Rattus norvegicus: one gene and its partner. The protein of the gene in region 2 interacts with the protein of the main gene of each other region in a pairwise test. Links are inferred from orthologs where the notes say so. Each region holds a gene or a part of one and is shown on either strand. Other genes may lie near its edges.

Region 1 (10,395 bases), on a different chromosome or scaffold from region 2:
AATTGGGGCTGGCTTACAGGTTCAGAGGTTCAATCCAGTGTCATCAAGGCGGGAGCATGGCATCATCGAAGCATCCGGGCAGGCCTGGTGCAGGAGGAGCTGAGTTCTACATCTTCATCTGAAGGAAGCCAGGAACAGAATGAGCATCCCCAGGCAGCTAGGAGGAGGGTCTCCAAGGTCACCGCACAGTGATACACTTCCTCCAACAAGGCCACGTCTTCTAATAGTGCCACTCCCTGGGCCAATCATATTACACCCAACATGGGTAAGAGATTAAGAGAGCAGCAGGCAGTAGGCTGTGCCTTGGGGGGTTGGGCTGGGGGGGGGTGTTACTGCTTCATGAAACACCAGGACTAAAATCAAGATGAGGAGGAAAGGGTTTATTTATTTGGCATATACTCCCACCTCATTGGAGGAAGTCAGGACAGAAACACAAACAGTTCCAAACTTAAACTCCTGAACCTGGAGGCAGGAGCTAATGCAGAGGCCATGGAGGGGTGCGGCTTACTGACTTGCTCCCCATGGCTTGCTCAGACTGCTTTCTGAGAACCTAGAACCATGAGCCCAGGCTGGCCCTTTCCCACTGATCACTAACTGAGAAAATGCCTTATAGATGGGAATCGTGGAGACATTTTCTCAACTGAGGTTCCTTCCTCTCTAATATTTTATTTTAAATTTTGTCTGTGTCAAGTTGACACACAAAACCAGCCAGTACAGGCAGGCTGTGAACTTATTAAACAATAAACTTTCAGGAGCAGTAAATAGGTCTTAAAATAATACATAAGCAAAATTTTGTGGATCAATTGATTACAAAGCTGCCATTTCCTTTTTGTTGTTTTAACCTTATTTTATTTTATGTGTACGGGTGTTCGACAGTGGCTGGTCTGGAACTTGCTATTTTAGACCAGGCTGGCTTCCAACCTACCTGCCTCTGTCTGCTGACATGTGCTATGCAGGGCTCTATTTAATTTTGTTTGTTTGGTTGGTTGGTTGGTTTTTAAACAGTATTTATGTAGCTCAGGGGGACTCTAGCCCAGGTACACCTTGAACTTGTGATTCTCCTGGCACACCTCCTCAGTAGGTGAAATCACAGGCCTGTAGCCTGTGATTATACATACACACACACATATATATATATATATATATATATATATAATTTGTAGTATAACTACAAATATACTACAAATATACTACAAATATATACTATATATGATATATATAATAAATTATATATATATATATCATTTGTAGTATAGCTGGTCTCACACATTCCAAGATTGTTAAGGAGCATTTATATTTATTTACCTATTCACTTATTTTTGAGACAGGGTTTCTTTATGTAGCCCTGGAAGTTCTGGAATTTGCTCTGTAGGCCAGACTGGCCTGAGATCCTGCTGCCTCTCTGCCTCCACCTCTGTCACACAAGTGCTGGAGTTAAAGGCTTGCACCACCACTGCCTGGCCACTAAGGAGTATTTATAGCTAACTTTGAGAAGGCTGCTTTCAGATGATAGCTAAGTATCCTTAAACTGAAGCGTAAACTCCGTCTCTACAGGTTTACAAAACCTTAGAACGTATGCTTTATTTTCAGCTCTCCTGTTACTTGATGCTATTCGTGCGGTGAGAACAGAATAAGCTTCGCATTTATTGGAAACACATTATAGGACGACAGACACTGGGGTTTATCTTTTTAATTCATTATTATTGTCTTTTTTTCGAGACTGGGTTTCACTATGTACCTCTCTGACTGTTCACTATGTAGACCAGGCTGGCTCTGAAACTCAGAGATCCATTTACCTCCATGAGCGCTGGGATTAAAGATATGTGTGCCCATACTCAGATTATACTTTTAAAATATAAAATGCCTTCCACAGTGGAAGTCTAAATATTTCCTCTTAAGGGACTTACAAAAATCCTCAGGGCAATGTAATGACAGTACTACTAACCCTAAAGAAAACGTCCAATGGGCAAGTATGTGGACCTGCTTCTCTCTCAGTGAAACATCAGTTACTTTGTTAAGTTTCTTAGACCAGGTGGTTATTATTTACTTCTAATTTTATAGCAACTTTGAATGAGACTCTATGCTGATGGCCTCGTCCCTTGAGGCAAGGTCTCATTATATATAGCCCTTGCAGGGATCCACAAGACTCTGTGTTGGGAGCAATGGCCTTGAAACCCTCCATTATCGATGTTAATATTATGGTTAGAGTTTAGTATGACTGGGTTCATGGAAAATCCCCAGCCAGCTGCAGAAGACTAATATAAATCTGGTGGTCAAGATGAGTAATGATATAACATGAAAGTTGTGACCTTGCTGAGAAATACATCTGATGTCAGGATGCCCAATATGACAAACCTGTAACCTTTCTGAAAAACCAACATCCTGTTGACATCAGCTGACCACACAAATACGGCGTCCTTGGCCTGCGTAAATGTTTCCTACTCCCCCCCCCCCCCCGTTACCCCTGTTATGGTATAAATTCAGCCTTGGGAAAAAATAAAATTGTCGCCTTGATCAGACTCTTGTCTTGGCGTCCTTCTTTGTGTCTCTTGTCCCCCATTCTCTTCCAGGTACCCTCTGCGCCCTCACTGACACTCTGCTTCCTGAGTGCTGGGGGTTAAAAGTCCGTGTCACCATACCTGGTCTCTATTTTGTCATCATTTTGTGACAGTTTCTGACAGAGTAACTTCCTAATAAGTAAAGGTTTTATTTTTGAATAAGGAAGGTATCTGAGGTGGGCGAGATGACTCAGAGCTGGCCTTAGGGCATGCTGACCTGAATTCCATCCCCAGGACCTACTTGTGGGATCCACATGGTTGGAGAAGAATGGACTAAGGGTTGTTCACTGACTTCCACAAATGCTGAGGTGCATACTCAAGAAATAAATAAACACAAAGTAATCGTTTAGAGCCAAATACTTTTGGTAAAGTAGCAAATTGAGCCTTTTCCTCCTCCGGTAGATCAGCCTTTGGTCTTGGTCTTCTGAATTAATGAGAAAAAAAATTTGAGTTTTCACGATGCTTTTGTAATATGCTTTAAAATTCAATGATTAAATATCTTCTAATATTTTTAGCGAAGGCCAGATTTGTGGTTGACTGGAAACCTCTAGGCTTACGCAGCTATGCAAGTTTATTATGGGCAATACGAGCTGTATCGTCTCAATTTCAGTAAGGCAACATTAGACGATTAAAATAGGTTTTTTTTTGTTTGTTTGTTTGTTTTACCAAAAGAGACAAACAGCTTTTGAAGTGCTGGGGCTGAGCCTGCCAGGAGCACGCATTAACGTTTTTGTGTTACAAAGAATGACAGGTCCTTTGCAAAAGTTGGTAGTGATTCTATCAATCATTTCTCACACCTGTTAGGTTGAAACTGTTAGCATTACTTTTTAAACCAGACCTGAAGACGACCGACCAGAAAGACATGAAATTCGAATCACCACCCTAGGGACATCTGTTAATGATACTCCAAGTTGTGCTCCTCGTCTTAAAAAAAATATAACAGCAAACTGGATTTCCTAGGATATGCTGGGTGGCCGACATTTTCCGTGGCAGGGGTTTCACACGTTCCAGATCTGAACGGATATTAAATGGCTGGGCGAAATGCCAGGTGGCCCTTTACTGTCACATTAAACAGCAGTGAGAACGGGCGGGGTAACCCGATTCCGTTCCGGCGCGGAACGCGGCGGCCCGGCCCAGGGCCACGCTGACGCGCAGGTAGCCCGGAGCTGCGTCCTGGAGACGCCGCCCGCCAGCGAACAGCGCCACCGGCTTCCGCCCTAGGCGCCCCCGGCTCCGCCGGCCTCTGCGGCAGGGCCGCGGAAACCCCGTAGGAGCAGGGCGGCCGAGGAGCGCGGCGCGCGGTCGCGCTGCTGCAATATTCTTCCGCCGAAATCAAAGAGTCCCAGGCCCCCTCCTGATTCATGGATCTCCAGGAACGCTGTAATACCAAGTAATAGTGAAATGTGGATTTTGTCATCGACTCCTTTAGGGCTTCACCTCCGGTAACAAACTCCAGGAGTACAATTTTGTGGCTTCCGAAGAGGGAATAAGAAAATTCCTCCGCGAGAAACGGGTTCCGGCCGCGAGCCTATAAAAAACGGGCGGCGCCGTCCCGCTGTCTTTTCAGTCGGGCGCTGAGTGGGTTTTCGGATCATGTCTGGTGGCTCCGCGGATTACAACAGGTACGGCGCTCCTGGGGCGGCCGGTGGCCTGTAGTGAAGGTCACTAGCACCCGCGGTTGAGGTGGGTGGCTAGCGGCCACACTGCAGGTATGCGGGCTTTTTCTTAGGGCACACACAGTCTCCTTGTGTCCTTCGAGAAGCTTCCATGATGGTAGGACTCCAGATGTTGGGGAGACAGGACGGATAGGAGAAGGGAGTATTAAGGATGCCCTTCCTTAGGACACATTGTGACATCTTGGCCGCTGCCCCTCCCCATGTGGGACATGGCAAGCAGAGCCGTGGCGCAGTCTGCTTAGGGCAGGATAACCGGGTCCCGAAGGTTTATTTGCCGCCAGCGGCGCGAGCTGGGGTTCTTAGTGTTCTGTCGAGGTGGGAGACCGGACAGCCAGAGGACGATCACCCTGGACCGTAAACGGGGCGACGAGCCGTTGGCATGGTCCTGCCAGGGCCTCTCGGCGTCAATCACGCCGGCTTGCGCAGAGTTAGGGGCGGAGCTCGGCGCGCGGAGCGCTCGCGAGAGCTTCCCTTCCCAAACGGGAGGCCCGGGTCCTAGGGCACTAAGTAGAGGGGCCTCTACACGGAGGACTCCAAATCCTCAGCTATTGGGAAGAACGAATGGTGTCTACCTGCAATGCCACTGTTCTTGAGGCATTTTCAGTAGAGCACACGTGCGCGGAGGGTAATGAGGCACGGGGTGGAAGGGCCTTTTTAAGGGCTTGTGGCTTGGAAGAAGTATGTCTAACTGCAGTGTTCTTGTCAGCAGAGAACATGGCGGCCCAGAGGGAATGGACCCCGATGGTGTCATCGAGGTAAGGAATGGGTGTGGACGTTAAAGGGTTGGGAGGTACATTTTTTTCCGTCTTACTCATAGTTTTATTATTAACTTACAGAGCAACTGGAATGAAATTGTTGATAACTTTGATGATATGAATTTAAAGGAGTCCCTTCTTCGAGGCATCTATGCTTATGGTTTTGAGAAGCCTTCAGCTATTCAGCAGAGAGCTATAATCCCATGTATTAAAGGTAAAACTCCACTGACATTTAGGATAAGTGTTCTGCACCCACGTGGACCGTAAAAGGGAAAGTGACCTTTTGGGGAAGTACTAGCACCTGTTTGTATTCCTTAAAGTGAAATGATGGCAATCATCTTTCGGGACTGACCTGAAATGAAGAGAAAACTCTCTGCTGATCACTTATATGGGCATAATTTATGTTCCAACTGGAATACATGGTGTGTAGTAGAAGTAACGATTTGATGTGGGATCGGTAAATATGTATCCTACTTTTTTTAGGATATGATGTGATTGCTCAAGCTCAGTCAGGTACTGGCAAGACAGCCACATTTGCTATTTCCATCCTGCAACAGTTGGAGATTGAGTTCAAGGAGACCCAAGCACTAGTATTGGCCCCCACCAGAGAACTGGCTCAACAGGTATTGATAGTGTAGTTCAAAAACTGCTTGCGTGTTGCATAGGTTTCAGGTTTCACAACTGTGAAGGATTTAAAATTAAGACGTATAAACTGTCCTAGTCCTATGAGAGCCCTCATAATGTCCGTGCATGCAGGGAGTTTGTTGTTAGCGAACAGGAATGGGTATTGTAGGTATGACTTGTAGGGCCTGGTGTAGCTCAGTTAAACCCATAGGTTTCTCAGGGTGGATTAGAAATTTGGAATGCAGTTGTGCAACATGAAAACTGCAGTGACATGTTAACCATTTGACTGTCTCAGTAGTTTGTGATGCATCTGTTGCATGCTATGTTTTCAAAGCGCTGCTATATTGGCTTTGAAGTAAATTCCTGATGAAGCTGCAAGCTTTACTCAGGTGAGGATAAGGCTCAGTGCCTTGTGGGAGAAATACCAGCATTTGCCCTTACAGAGAACATTTCACTACACAGTGGAGAATGTAGACATTTTTTTTTACCTGTGTTCCTAGTTGGTGTTTGAGGCAACAGGGCACCAAGTTTGAAAAGACAAGAAGGGAGCATTAAGTAGTTCAAGAGTGAATTTTAAGCTTGTAATTAATAAGTTTTGTGCTATGCATGCATAAAAGCTGTTGGCATATATATGATAGTACAATTATGCCTTTAAGCTTAGTCCTAGACCTTGGCTTTACAGAATGATAACTAAAATATTTTGCTTTTAGATCCAAAAGGTCATTTTGGCTCTTGGAGATTATATGGGAGCAACTTGTCATGCTTGCATTGGAGGAACAAATGTTCGAAATGAAATGCAGAAGTTGCAGGCTGAAGCCCCTCATATTGTTGTTGGCACTCCTGGGAGAGTATTTGATATGCTAAACAGAAGATACCTTTGTAAGTGACTTTTAAAGGCTCTTTCTTATCTGTCACCAAGAAGGCTGTGAGAACTTTGAGATGAAGTATGACTTTCTTATTAACAGCTCCAAAATGGATCAAAATGTTTGTTTTGGATGAAGCAGATGAAATGTTGAGCCGAGGGTTTAAGGATCAGATCTATGAGATTTTCCAAAAATTAAATACAAGCATTCAGGTAAAGTTCGTTTCTATTCATTTGGGTTTGGTTTCATGCAGGTACAGTTACAATAAAACTGAAGTGTTCTATTGTCGTTCCCCCTGCTTAAAGTATCTGATACATTACTATCTCTGCCTAGCTCTACCATAGTAAGGCAGAGACGCTTGGTTTCAAACATTTTTCCCTATAGTATTTGCTGCAAGCTTATACAAACTAAACAGGTAAAGACAGTCATTTCTTTTTTAAAGGTTGTGTTACTTTCTGCCACAATGCCAACTGATGTCCTAGAAGTGACCAAGAAATTCATGAGAGATCCAATTCGAATTCTGGTGAAGAAGGAAGAATTGACCCTTGAAGGAATTAAACAATTTTATATTAATGTTGAGCGAGAGGTAATTTTCTTTATTAAATGTAAGGGTTTTTACCTTCTTGTATAAGCACTGTGCTAAAATTACAGGAACTAGGATTATATCTTGGTTTTTGTAATAATGCTAGCAGAGTACACACAAGAAGAAGAGTAACTGCACTGGATTCCAAAGACTGGGGTGGACCTCTTTCTTAATGTCCAGTGTCCTTTGTCATAAGATTCGGTGCAATAAGTCTTTAGATCAATTCTCCTTGGAGATCATGACCATTTGGGGGTAGCATCAGGTATTTTACATTGTGGCTCAACAATTAAGTAGCAACAAATTTATGGTGGGGAAATGTATTAGAGGTTTGTAGCATTAGGGTTGAGAACCGCTGTGGGATGATGTCACAGGTGAGGCAGGTACAAGATAGAGTGAGGCCTGTCATTGGATGAGAAGGAAGGATGGGTGGGAGAAAAGTTTGAAGGAAGAGATGGGAACAGAAGAGGAGAGAGTTGGCGGGGGTTTGGGAGCTGACACTAAGCTTCTGTGTGCACCTTTACAGGTTCTTATGACTGTTCTTAAGGGGTGGCTTTGTATATATTTGGGTGGGCAATTATATCTTATAAATTGGACCAAAGGTTATTGTTTGTGTGTTCTTTCATGTAGCAGTTTAAGTGTAAGGGAGTGTGGGGTGGCTGGTCTGGGCTGCCACAGAGTTGGGGTATGTGCTTCTGGCAAGAAATCTAGCAGGATACCTTGGGGACTTGCTGGACTTGAGGGGTTAAGACAGTCATACTTTTATGTATTTTTACATCACAAACCACTGCTTTAGTTTTGTTGAAAATCATGGAAATTTTGTTTGACTTTAGGAGTGGAAGCTGGACACTCTTTGTGACTTGTATGAGACTTTGACTATCACACAAGCAGTTATTTTTCTCAATACAAGGCGCAAGGTGGACTGGCTCACGGAGAAAATGCATGCCAGGGACTTCACAGTTTCTGCTCTGGTAAGAGTTGTTGGATTTAGTAATGCTAATTATAGCCATTAAGCAGGATTTTACTACAATATGGCTGCTCAGTGCTGTGTTGTCGTTCCCCCTGCTCAGAACAATTGTTTCTTAACTATACCTGTCTGCTGTCTACCTGTAGCAGCCAGGGACGCTTGGTCTCATACATGATAGAAAGAAATTAAATGAATGCCTGACCTGAATAGGGATTGCTGAATTGAGTTGTTGTATTTGCAGCATGGTGACATGGACCAGAAGGAAAGAGATGTCATCATGAGGGAATTCCGATCAGGGTCAAGCCGTGTTCTGATCACTACTGACTTGTTGGTGAGTTTGCTGTTTTGTTTTGTTTTCTTAAGTACCAAAAGCTAGATTTGTGGAAAAGGTTTTATTTAATAACCTTAACCAGTTCACGCTATTTGGCAGAATGAGTAAGACCACACTCCACAGTGGACTATACCACTTAGTATGGTTCATTACTATATTGTGGCCTACATTGATTGCAGAGATGTCTAGGTTTTGGATTATATTAAACAACCTCTTTATTTCAGGCTCGTGGGATTGATGTGCAACAAGTGTCCTTGGTTATAAACTATGATCTACCTACCAATCGTGAAAACTATATTCACAGGTGAGAAGAAAGCATCTCCAATATTTGTATTGGAGAAGTAATATTTGTATTGGAGAAGTAAATTCAAACATGTCTACGGTGTTTTGTATACAAGGTACTGACTGGCAAATCAGGGAATAGATTGCAGTAAAAAGGCATAGTAATTTACTAAGGTCTAAAATTGTGTTTGGGAAGATTGGTCAGAACAAAGTGGGAAACTGTGTAATGTGGCCAAGGTTGTGTATTCACATGCAGACTAGGTTGATTTAGATTTCTTTGGTCTTAGCTTATGTTTGAGCCTTATAGTGATTTTTCTTGTGTCCATGTGCTTTTTTTCTTGGTGATTGATTCTATACAGTTGGGATTTTCTTGGTGTTGCTGGTAGCATTTTGAGTGATTCCCTGGTTTAGTTATAGTGGCTTTTTATCCCTAAATAAATTGAATTGTACTTTGTTATATGATGTAAAAAAAGACTTTTTAAAAAATACAGGAGTCGATAGCGGCAGTTGATGACGAGATGGCGCTCAGAAACGGCGTTGACGTAATTTAGGACGTGGAATCATAAGCGAAACAGCACACTGTTTGAATAAAGAGCGAGTCGGTATTTATATTTGATTTTCTTTTGTCATGATTATTTGATATTTTAAGTTGTTCCAGCCCAAGGCATTTTTGTATGTTAGCATTTCTGATAGGGAGCATTAGGTGGTTGTATTGTCTGGTACTTTGTAGGAAGGTAGAGAGCTGTTTTGGAGGTGTAACACGTTTGAGTAATTTGAGTATAACGTGTGAAAAGAAGCTGAGCAAAAAGCAGTGATGAGTTTGGGTTACCATACCAAATACTTGCTTTCACACTGGAAAAAGTAAGTTTTAGAAAATAGTTAACCTTGCAGTATTTGTATTTACAGTTTACAGTTCCAGAAGTGCGTCGAATGGATTGTATAACTGTTTCTTTTATTCCTGGTGTTTACATTTGTCCCAGGCTGACAACTGCTCCTGGCTGGCCCACTTTGGTATGGGCTTTAATTTCACCCCAAACACAATACTGTCATCTGCTTTACTGTAATGCTCAAGGCGCCTATCTCATTTTGCAGCCAGACAGGCCTTGAATTCTTTTGGCACTATCTGCAAAGGAAGATGTTTTCCCACCTGGATATTGGTTTTTATCAGCTAGTGCTGCACTTAAAAGCACGAACCCTAACCCTGATAAGTAACCAGCAGCTGCTGGTTAACAAGTGGATCGTCATATTCAGTAGCTTTGAATGGTACTAAAGCAACTTGCTGACTGCTGCTTTCTTTCTCTTATACAGAATTGGCAGAGGGGGTCGATTTGGGAGGAAAGGTGTGGCTATAAACTTTGTTACTGAAGAAGACAAGAGGATTCTTCGTGACATTGAGACTTTCTACAATACTACAGTGGAGGAAATGCCCATGAATGTGGCTGACCTAATTTAATTCCTGGGATGAGATAGTTTGGAATGCAGTGCTCGCTGTTGCTGAATAGGCGATCACAACGTGCATTGTGCTTCTTTGAGAATATTTGAATCTTGTCTCAATGCTCATAACGGATCACAAATACAGATTCTGATAGCAAAGCGACTTTAGTCCTGAGCTCTTGTGAGGAAAGGCATTGGCTTTATCCTCTTTAGAGTTAGACTGTTGGGGGTGGGTATAAAAGATGGGGTCTGTAAAATCTTTTTTTCTTAGAAATTCATTTACTAGTTATGTAGAAATGGTTGTATTAGATGTTCTCTATCATTT
Region 2 (9,692 bases):
ATGATTAATATGGATTTATTTTTTATGAATTTTGCTGTAGTCATTTCTGTATTAATCGATTCTGGAAGATTCAGGCATAATCGGTACATCTCAGAGACCTCAATCAATAAATCAACCTAAAAATAAAAAATAGATTTAAAATCACGATACCAGACCATCGTAACCCGCTAGTAGATCAGTGCAGTCACTTGTATGGAAACCTCGTCGGTGCCACGAGACTTGGAATTGTGGACTCTTGAGATTTTGCTCACTAACACAACATTTTGTTAACGTTGTATGGTGGTGCACTCCAGGCTCTGTTACATAGAGAAACCCTGTCTGAGAGGTTGGGCCAGGGAGTTAATTGTAACAGTAGCAGAAGTAGAGTGTTGCATCTGAACACTGGCTGTCTTCCGGATTTACTGTCAGATGGCAAGGAAATGTACTGGAGCCTGGAAGAAAGGACCCATGTTTCATAGTAACGCCCTCAATGAACCTCGCTCGCCTGAGAATTTCAAATGCACATAATCAGCTATCTTATGCCTTTAGAAGAACTGGGGATATAAGGTCAATTCTTATTGGGAACATTTCATAAGGCATCACAGAGAGGGAGAATAGACACTAACCAGTTTATATGCAGCCTCCAAATGCTAAGACTTAACAGCTGAAAAATGGAGTCAATTCAGCAAGGATAAAATAAGAAATTGCTATTAGCTACAGTGGCTAAGACAAAGGTTAAGCAGCACTTGTTGAAAAGCCCGTGCGTGGACAGGCAGAGGGAGAGGTCAGCCAATCCTTACATTTGGTTAAGATGGCAGCAATTCAGTTTAATGACATGAAAGTGCCTTCATGAAAACGAGTCATTTTATGTATTAAACCTAAAAAATAAGTTTAAAGATAAAAGTTTGGAGCAGCTAGTCTGGGCAAAGAATTGTGGGTAGAGTAGTGACTACAATCATACAGGCACAATGGGCTAAAAGGAAAAGGAACTGCCTTCAAATTGTACAGCCCTCAACATTCCATCAGCAGGGAACCCACAGAAAATCCAGTGCCGACACAGTCTATGATATCCCTTTTGTATGTGTGGCCAACGTGGATGCTGAAACAGGAAAAACCTTCCCCACATGGAACTGAAATCGGCCTGACAATGGGTAGCTAAAGGGGCCCTCTACCGGGACCCAAAGAGCACTCCCACCCATCTTCATGTGGGCCATTCACAGGTTTTGGTTGCTACAATTTCAGGATTGCTGCTCCCCAGGAACTAGACCTTTGGATCATTTCTGAAGTGAGACTTTTTTTATAGTTGCTCTCTCCCTCTATGGTGGATGGGTTCACAGCAGATCACTTGTTTTGATATATCATCGGTCTGGTTTAAAAGGAGAACACAGCGGGCTGGAGAGGTAGTTCTGTGGTTAAGAGCACTGGTTGCTCTCTCAAAGTCCCAGCCAGCACCCACATGGCAGCTCGCAACTCTTTGTAACTCCAGTTCCAAGGGATCTAATGTACACACACACACACACACACACACACACACACACACACACACACACAGGTAAAACATAAAAATAAATTAAGGGGTTGGGGATTTAGCTCAGTGGTAGAGCGCTAAGGCCCTGGGTTTGGTCCCCAGCTCTGAAAAAAAAAAAAAAAGAAAAGAAAAAAGAAGAAAAAAAAAAGATATTTTTTTTAAAAAAAGGAGAACACAGACTGTGGTGATAAAGACCCTGTTCTTTGGAATCTGAGGCTAGGATTAGAGTTGTCCTTGAAGAATGAAGGAAATGTCTCAGTCTGAGGGTAGACTGTACCATGTCCCAATTATCTGCTCCTCTTCTGTAAGGTAAGAGAATTCTGTCTATACATCTATGCCATGTATGTATCACTTCCTGAGAGTCCCAGTCCTACTGATGTTTTGATGTACTTGGGCCAGTGGGATAAAATTAGAAGAGATATATGCTATATGTTCATAGGAGTTTTAGGTCTACTACGTGGAGCAGCAATTTCTGTTTCCCTTTACCGTAAGACTGGCATGTCAGGGGCTGGAGAGATGGCTCAGCGGTTAGGAGCACTGACTGCTCTTCCAGAGGTCCTGAGTTCAAATCCCAGCAACCACATGGTGGCTCACAGCCATCTGTAATGTGATCTGATGCCCACTTCTAGTGTGTCTGAAGACAGCTACAGTGTACTCACATAAATCTTTTTTTAAAAAAAAAAGAATGGCACATCTGAGGTTTCTGAATGTACAGAGCTAATGAGGCAGAGAAGGCCTACGTAATATGCAGCCTAAGCAAATTACTATAAGCCTTTGACTTTACTGCAGCATAATATAGGTACAAGTTTGCTGTATAATTGGCCCTCCACAGTACTGGTTCTAAATCTGTGGATGCAGCCTACCTTGTATTGGAACACAGTTAGGCGTACAGTGACTTCATCTCCACTAATCATGTAGCAGAGTATTTTCTTATTTTGTAATTGATACAGTCAAAACAGCTTGGTATAGGTTGGATGTCTTTGTTTGTTTGTGTCTTTGTTTGAAACAGGATCTTTCTCTCCATAGCCCTGGCTGTTCTGGAAATCACTAAATAGATCAGGCTGGCCTCAAGAGCACAGAGATCTGCCTGCCTCTGACTCCTAAATTCTGGATTAAAGATGTGCTCCACCATGCCTCAGTATAGTTGGATCTTAACTGTTCTCCAAATCTCCAAGTGGTTTTTCCCACCATAGAAATGCTATTTGGAGATGCTGGAACCTTTAGGGGGTGGAACTTAGTGCCAAGTCTTTGGATCATTGGGTATATTTCTGGAAAGTGGATTGTGGGATGATGGCCATTTCCGTACTGTCCCTAAGTGAAAAGTGGTTTTGCTTTGTCATGTATTTGTGTCACAATGTGCTTGACACTTCAACACAGGTGTGAAGATAGTTGTCTGAACAAGGTTGGAACCTCTGAAATCATGAGCCCTAACGAACCCTTCCTCTTTAAAGTTATCTTAAGTCCCTGTTCTGGTGAAGCGTAGTTGATGCACACTGAATTTACACAGCACTTACATGTTATTCAATGGTAGAAAAACCTCATGGACATGCAAGTGCAAGTGTTACTTGCAAACAATAAAAAAACTGGTCATCAGTGGATTTTTCTCATCTGCAGGAGTTCCTGAAAACAACCCCCTAGAGCTGCCTCCTCAGGAGTACTACAGTGTTTGTTTAACTTACCTCAGAAACACTAAGCTCACAGAGAGAGACTGCCTTAATCCCAGGTAACTCGACTTTCAGCTCAATTTTCAGCGGCTTCTCGTTCTGATCCTTTACAACCTTTAATTCGTAGGCAGGTGTCTTAGCCTCCACCTGGACTTCTGAACTAGCAATCTCTTCTATAAGACATCTCCCTTTGGCCGACACTTGTTTCTTTGTCAATAGCACCTCAGGAAGGTGACTGGGTTCACTCACAGTACTGCTTCTGATCCTTTCAAGAGTGTTGTCTTTGAGGAGAAAAGGGGGAGGGGAAGGAGATGCAAATATCAGGCTGTGAGCTTTAGGATATGTAATGTTCACACAGACAGTTGATGAGGCCGCAGTTACATTATTTGGAAAGGTTAGCTCTAAAGCTGGCCACGCTGCTCAGTGATAACCTGCCTGGATCTGAAGTTTGGGGCTGGATTTGATTCTGGTTCAACTAAACACAGAGAGATACCCAGAACCTCAAGCCAAAGAGTTTGCTTGGGAATCCTGCAAGGTTTTGACATCTTTCTGGATAATGTATATTCTTCCAAGCTTCTCATTCTATTTTTTAGATTTATTTTTTATAATGTAAGTACACTGTAGCTGTCTTCAGACACACCAGAAGAGGGCCTCAGATCTCATTACAGATGGTTGTGAGCCACCATGTGGTTGCTGGGATTTGAACCCAGGACCTCTGGAAGAGCAGTCAGTGCTCTTAACCACTGGGCCATCTCTCCAGTCCAGCTTCTCATTATTTTTAGAGACGTGTGGCTTGAAAACTATGCGCATGCTACAAACCCAGAATCTGTAATCATTTTTAGCTTACATCCATCAACTTACCTTTTCTCATCATCTCTTTGAAGTTTGGGAAGTGAGTTTTAATGCCCATCAGCCTTTCTTTCATTCTCTGAATGCTTCCTTTCACTCTAAAATGAGTAACATGGTATGAATGTGCAAGTGTGAGCTGGAGTCGCTCCTCGATGCACCGCATGGCCATCCTAATTAGCTGATCTTTGATTCCTTGGTCTTTTTCTGCCGCTTGCAGAACACCAGGATTGTAGGCAACATCAATGATGGTACAAGCATCTGTGTGTAATTCAGAGACAACTTGATTCTATAAGGATTTTGTCCGGCAGTCTTCTAACCCACGTTAGCAACATTGCAAAGCACAGGTTCCATCCCTGTGTTCTTAGAGCAATCACAGAAGCACTATGGTAAGCCAGCACTGGCTCGTCAGAAAGGAAGCCGACACAAAGGTTATTAGGAGAAAGGGCTTTGAAGTAAGACAAAGCCTTAGACAACAACAATGCAATATATGGAGATCTAAACATGATGGGACCTTAAAGGGAACTATGGCTTCCCTTTATATCCTGGAGAGGAGCTTCACAGGTTGAGAATGAGAGGTAATGTGGAGAGAAAGCTAGCTGCAGGAGATTGGAGATGGGAGATATGCAGGGAGGACAGGGTCCTGCAGAGGGCAGCATCAGAGCATTTGCATGACCAAAATCTTCCTGAAGAACAACCCGACGAACAACACAAAAAGCTGACTTTTTAACAACCTTTTAGGAGTGATAGTAATTTCCATGTCACATAACTTACTTCCGTATAGTGCACATTAGGTCATGGAAGAGACAGGTGACCATGAATTAAAGACTGTGAGGTCACAGCACAGGTTGAGTTTAACTCTGTCTCAGCAGGGAGGCCTGGTCTGATTCAAGCTGTATGATCTGGCCTAAAGATGCAGGTGTCTGTTCTAACATATACACAAAATTCCAAGTCTATGCTGCCATTTCTATTTGAGTCAAAAGCAGATCAGACTATTAGAAATCATATTAAACGTGCATAAAGCACACCCATTTGTTGGTAATTATTAATATTATTTCATAAATCATTACACTAACATTTAAAATAATATTATTGACTATTTCAATTATTTATTAACAATTAATAGTCACCAAATGAAATAATTTAATTAGAATATCCCTACCAAGTAAATTCTGGTCTTTGAATATGTTCAATAAAAAATTCACGGGGTTGGGGATTTAGCTCAGTGGTAGAGCGCTTGCCTAGGAAGCGCAAGGCCCTGGGTTCAATCCCCAGCTCCGAAAAAAAGAACCAAAAAAAAAAAAAAATTCACATATAGCTGTTCAATGGTGCCACAACACATTTAATTTCAGGACTCTGGAGGCAGAGGTAGGCAGATCTCTGAGTTCAAGGCCAGCCTATCTACTGAGTGAGTTCTAGTCAGAGCTACACAGAGAAACCCTGTCTGGAAAAAACAACAACAAAAACCCACACATGCTTTCTTTAATTCTTTATACCTGATGTCTCAGGGAAATCTTCTGGTCTGCCAACACTTATAGGTACAGGATGAGTGGCTGATTGTGGTGCGGGGATCCTTTCCCACTGACATAGGTTGATAAAAAGTACTTTTTCTTTTGGTTTCTAGAAAGTGAATAATTTTGATATTGCCAAATGAGATTTGATGACAATATCCTGAAAGCAAGTCATCGCTTTTTTTCAGGCCTTCCTACATGCAAAGGAAGTGCTCTGACGCTCAGCTAGATCTCCCACCAAGGGAGTTCTAGTCATCCACTCAGTGATTATATTAAAACTGTGCCTGACATCCTACAAAGCACAGTTGTTCCAAGCAAAGTATTTGAAGTTCTTTCTGTGTTTTGGTTCATTCATTCATTCATTCATTCATTCATTCACTTACTCATTTCCTCTATGCCAGGAATCAAATCCAACTTAGAGCCTCACACGCTAGGCAAGCATTCTACTGCTGAGACATTTTGTTTGTTTGTTACTTGATTTTCCCAAAGCTTCTGGCTCTTCATCCTAAGTCCAACTGCTGTTCTCTCTCAGAGGAGAGGAAGAGGAGATGAAGTAAACAACTGCTGTATGTGTTTTGGACCTCCTGTCACTGCTTCATTATTTAACTAATAATAGTAAGTTCTTTGTTTAAAAAAGTCCCCAGCTCCTGAGTCTTATTAAATCACAACCAGGAAGTCTTTAATCCCAGCACTCAGGATGCAGAGGCAGGAGGTTCTGGCCAGCCTGGTCTACATAGCACTGGACAGCCTATGTCTACATAAAGAGACAAACAAACATTCATTGCATCCAGGCCAGTTTGATGGGATTAAGAGCCCCTGGTTCCAGGCTGATGATCTGAATTCTCTCCTCACCTCATGGAAAGCCTACTCCCCAGAGTGGTCCTCTTTTCTTGCACATGCAATCTCTTTTTTTTTTTTTTTTCGGAGCTGGGGACCAAACCTAGGGCCTTGTGCTTCCTAGGCAGCACATGCAATCTCTTGACCCCCACCCCAACCCATAAAATGTAATACAAATATTTTCTTAAAAAACTTAACTCGTTATAGCACTGCTTTTCCACCTATCAGGGCAATAAAACTGCATTTGGGATTTCTAAAATACCAAGTATGAATTTCTCATTTTTACTCCTTCAATGAAATCTTCCATGTGGTTTCATTTTCTGCTCAGAGAGAGTTTTAATAAACTTCTCTCGTGTTAAAGTAGCGCTAGAAAAGGCTACTGTATCCTCTGGTTAAGCCGGAGTAGTTTTATTGAAGACCTCTCCTCCCTTGCAGTAGCTCCACATACTAGGATCTTTGTCTGTAGACAGAGTTGAGGTTCTGGGTCGGCACAGAGCTGTTTGCCATCTTTCAGCTCCTGCTGAATGAAGTTCCGGTAGCGCTCGGGATCATTTTCTGCCAAATCATCGAGCATGCTCCAGAACTGGGAGATGTGGGTGAGAAGACCCTTTGAGGAAGCCTTCATGATGGTGATGACTCAGGCCTTTGGAACCTGTTAGAGAGACAGGACTTGAGAAAGGCATGTAGGGTAGCTATGGCCTTATTTCCTCTTTCAGGGAAGAAGGAAGGTTTTTGCAGTTGTTCTGGGGGAGGCTCTTAACTGGTCTTGCTTCCTATGTCTAAAACAGTGTACACGTACTGCTTAATCTTGGCTTTTCTACAGTCTGTGAGCTGAGCCGCTTCCTAAATACCCACGTTGTACCTGTACTTCTGTCTGGTCCTCACAAATACAGAGGAAACAGAAAGGACTGTTGTTCCAATAGCTGGAATATTGGCTGACTTGGTGCCTTCCAGACCTGAAAGTGTAGGAGAGAGGGGTTGGGGGGGGGGGGGGACGGGACAGAGAGACGGGAAGGGGGAGAAATACATAGTGGCAGTACAGTAGTTAAAACTAGGCGCATTGCAGTCAATATGCTTAAGTTCTTCCTAACTACAGACAGCTGTATTGCCTTGAGCAAGTAGTGTATATATACACCTATTCTCTCTCTCTCTCTCTCTCTCTCTCTCTCTCTCTCTCTCTCTCTCTCTCTCTCTCTCTCTCTCTCCCTCCCCTCTCTCCCCTCTCTCCCCTCTCTCCCCTCTCTCCCCTCTCTCTCTCTCTCATTTTTTCGGAGCTGGGACCGAACCCAGGGCCTTGCGTTTGCTAGGCAAGCGCTCTACCGCTGAGCTAAATCCCCAACCCCACACCTATTCTCAAAACAAAGATGAGGATTAAGAACACTAATACTTAAGCTGGAACACCTGATAAATACTACCTCAAAGTAATAGTCAAAGATCCCGCCATTACCCTCCTCCCGTAAGAGAGAAATGTCGCCCAAAATTTAAAAAGAGATTTAGAGTCTTCAAATTATATAGTAAAGTCAGATTAAATAAACAACGAATACACACTTAATCCAAACGTGGGGGAACGCACCTCTTCTCTCAGTTTGGAGACAAACTGTGACTCTAGTTACCATGGTAACCAGGCCCGGTACACCGTCTAACTGAGTCCGGGGAGTGCAAATTAGAGTGGTGTCTCTATATCCAGTTCCGGTTCTTTTCTCCAGTGCCGGACTGGCTCCTCAGCGGGCTCGTCCCGCTTCTCTCTCAGGAGAGCGCCGGCTTCCTTCCTGCACCTGACAGCTTCCACGGCGACCGGCGAGCCCGCTCTGTGGGAGTCTCCTGTGGAGGGAAGCGTTTCTCCGGAGCACGACTTCCGGCCCGGAAGGAAGCCGCCGCCTTTTCTCCCACCCCGCCACGCGAGGCTGCGGCGCACGGTATGGGTGTGTTTGTGTGTGTTTGTGTGGGGAGGGCGTTTCGAGGGAAGGCTGCGGAGAGCGCCGAGGCTGTGGCGGGGCAGGGAGCCCGCTGACAGACATGGGGGTGTTTTCCCCGACTTCCCCTTGGAAACCTCAAGCTCCCCCTGAGGCACGCTAGACACTTCCCGGGGCCCAACGGAAGGCCGTGCCCATGCCCCGTGTCCCCATTCTGTCCCGGGAGTGAAACCGAACCGCCGGGCGCCGTCCCAGCCCAGCGAGAGCGGGGAATGCCCCGGTCCGCCCGCAGGCCGCGTTCCGCGCCTGCGCCCGCTCTGGCCTGGGTCCCGGAGAGAGAGCCGCCTGGCGGGCTCGGCTGGGGGAAGGCAGCCGTAGCCTGGGCCTCGGGTGAGGGCACTGTAACCGGTGGGAAGGCTGCGTTTTCACGAAGGACTCGGGTGAAGCTGCAGAGCTGCCTTTCAGCCCTGACTCCTTGGCTTCCTGGGTCGGAGGAGATCTTGTAATGGAGTGGTTCTTCGTCTCACACTAACAAGATGCCTGATTTCCTCAGGATCGAGGGGTGAGTGAGCATCGGGACGGTGGCACCAAGCCCCTGCTAGCTACACATGTGACTATCATTGTCTTCTGGGTTTTGAAAAGTTCTGTACAATGTAGGAAACAAAATGCCCTGAGTAGACATATTTAGGTCATTTAAACTTTTTTTTACAATTCAGGTTTTTTTTAAACTGTTGTCATACGTGGTGTTTGATACGTTCAAATCTACGTGTTTATAGCGTTGCAAGCGAATTTTGGGCAATTCGAGATTTGATTTCTAGCCTGTATACTGACATATCCTTAGCCTGGGTCCATGCGGCCTGGGGGCAGGTTACAGCTTTAAGGAACTTGATTTTGAAAAGAGAAGTGGGGGTAGAGTCCAAACTGGGGATCCTCATAGGTTAAAACAGCAGCCAACTTGGAGAATAAAATTGCATCTGTATTGATCACATACAGACCTTTCCCTCTTTTGTCGTTTCTAATCTCTGTCATGACATTTACATAACATTTGTATAGTTTTAAGTATCATAATTAATCTAAATACCCCCACTCCTCCTAAATGTGGAGGAGCATGTCTGTTGGCAGCCGTAAGAGGAAGAGGAGTTAAGGGCTAGCTGAGGCCACTTAAGACCCTGTCTTGAGAAAACAGTCCAAATTTAAAATACACAGGAGCATAGTTTATATGCAAATACATTCTGGGGGAGAGATGAGCACCCTAGGATTGCTTTGTGTGTGTGCATGTATGTTACAGAGGGACTGGATCCAGGGGTGGCTCTTATGCTAGGCAAGTGCTCTACCAGCCCATACTTGGATTTCTGGAACCAATTCCCCATGGATCTTGACTACTTGACAGAGAATTGAGAGGTCTAAACAACAC

What was found.
Region 1: the proteins of Pih1d2 (region 2) and Eif4a2 interact in binary tests that used the Homo sapiens proteins (3 or more experiments, as listed by UniProt). The two-hybrid records come from large-scale screens. The link is inferred for Rattus norvegicus from reciprocal best matches to the Homo sapiens genes PIH1D2 and EIF4A2.

The regions. Positions count from the first base shown.
Region 1 is NC_086029.1:91,269,059-91,279,453, reverse strand, and holds the start of Eif4a2 (eukaryotic initiation factor 4A-II), read left to right. Parts: upstream 1-4,130; 5' UTR 4,131-4,151; coding exon 4,152-4,180; intron 4,181-4,940; coding exon of another isoform or gene 4,941-4,943; coding exon 4,944-4,989; intron 4,990-5,068; exon of another isoform or gene 5,069-5,070; coding exon 5,071-5,203; intron 5,204-5,306; exon of another isoform or gene 5,307-5,375; intron 5,376-5,472; coding exon 5,473-5,612; intron 5,613-6,323; coding exon 6,324-6,492; intron 6,493-6,578; coding exon 6,579-6,688; intron 6,689-6,723; exon of another isoform or gene 6,724-6,848; intron 6,849-6,918; coding exon 6,919-7,062; intron 7,063-7,093; exon of another isoform or gene 7,094-7,271; intron 7,272-7,889; coding exon 7,890-8,027; intron 8,028-8,067; exon of another isoform or gene 8,068-8,196; intron 8,197-8,264; coding exon 8,265-8,354; intron 8,355-8,385; exon of another isoform or gene 8,386-8,525; intron 8,526-8,578; coding exon 8,579-8,658; intron 8,659-9,127; coding exon of another isoform or gene 9,128-9,137; exon of another isoform or gene 9,138-9,944; coding exon 9,945-10,089; 3' UTR 10,090-10,395. UniProt on the Homo sapiens protein: ATP-dependent RNA helicase which is a subunit of the eIF4F complex involved in cap recognition and is required for mRNA binding to ribosome.
Region 2 is NC_086026.1:59,861,752-59,871,443, reverse strand, and holds the start of Pih1d2 (PIH1 domain-containing protein 2), read right to left. Parts: upstream 8,174-9,692; 5' UTR 7,939-8,173; exon of another isoform or gene 7,914-7,938; intron 7,322-7,913; 5' UTR 7,228-7,321; intron 7,018-7,227; 5' UTR 6,991-7,017; coding exon 6,814-6,990; exon of another isoform or gene 5,916-6,813; coding exon of another isoform or gene 5,912-5,915; intron 5,638-5,911; coding exon 5,514-5,637; intron 4,279-5,513; coding exon 4,033-4,278; intron 3,453-4,032; coding exon 3,187-3,452; intron 117-3,186; coding exon 1-116.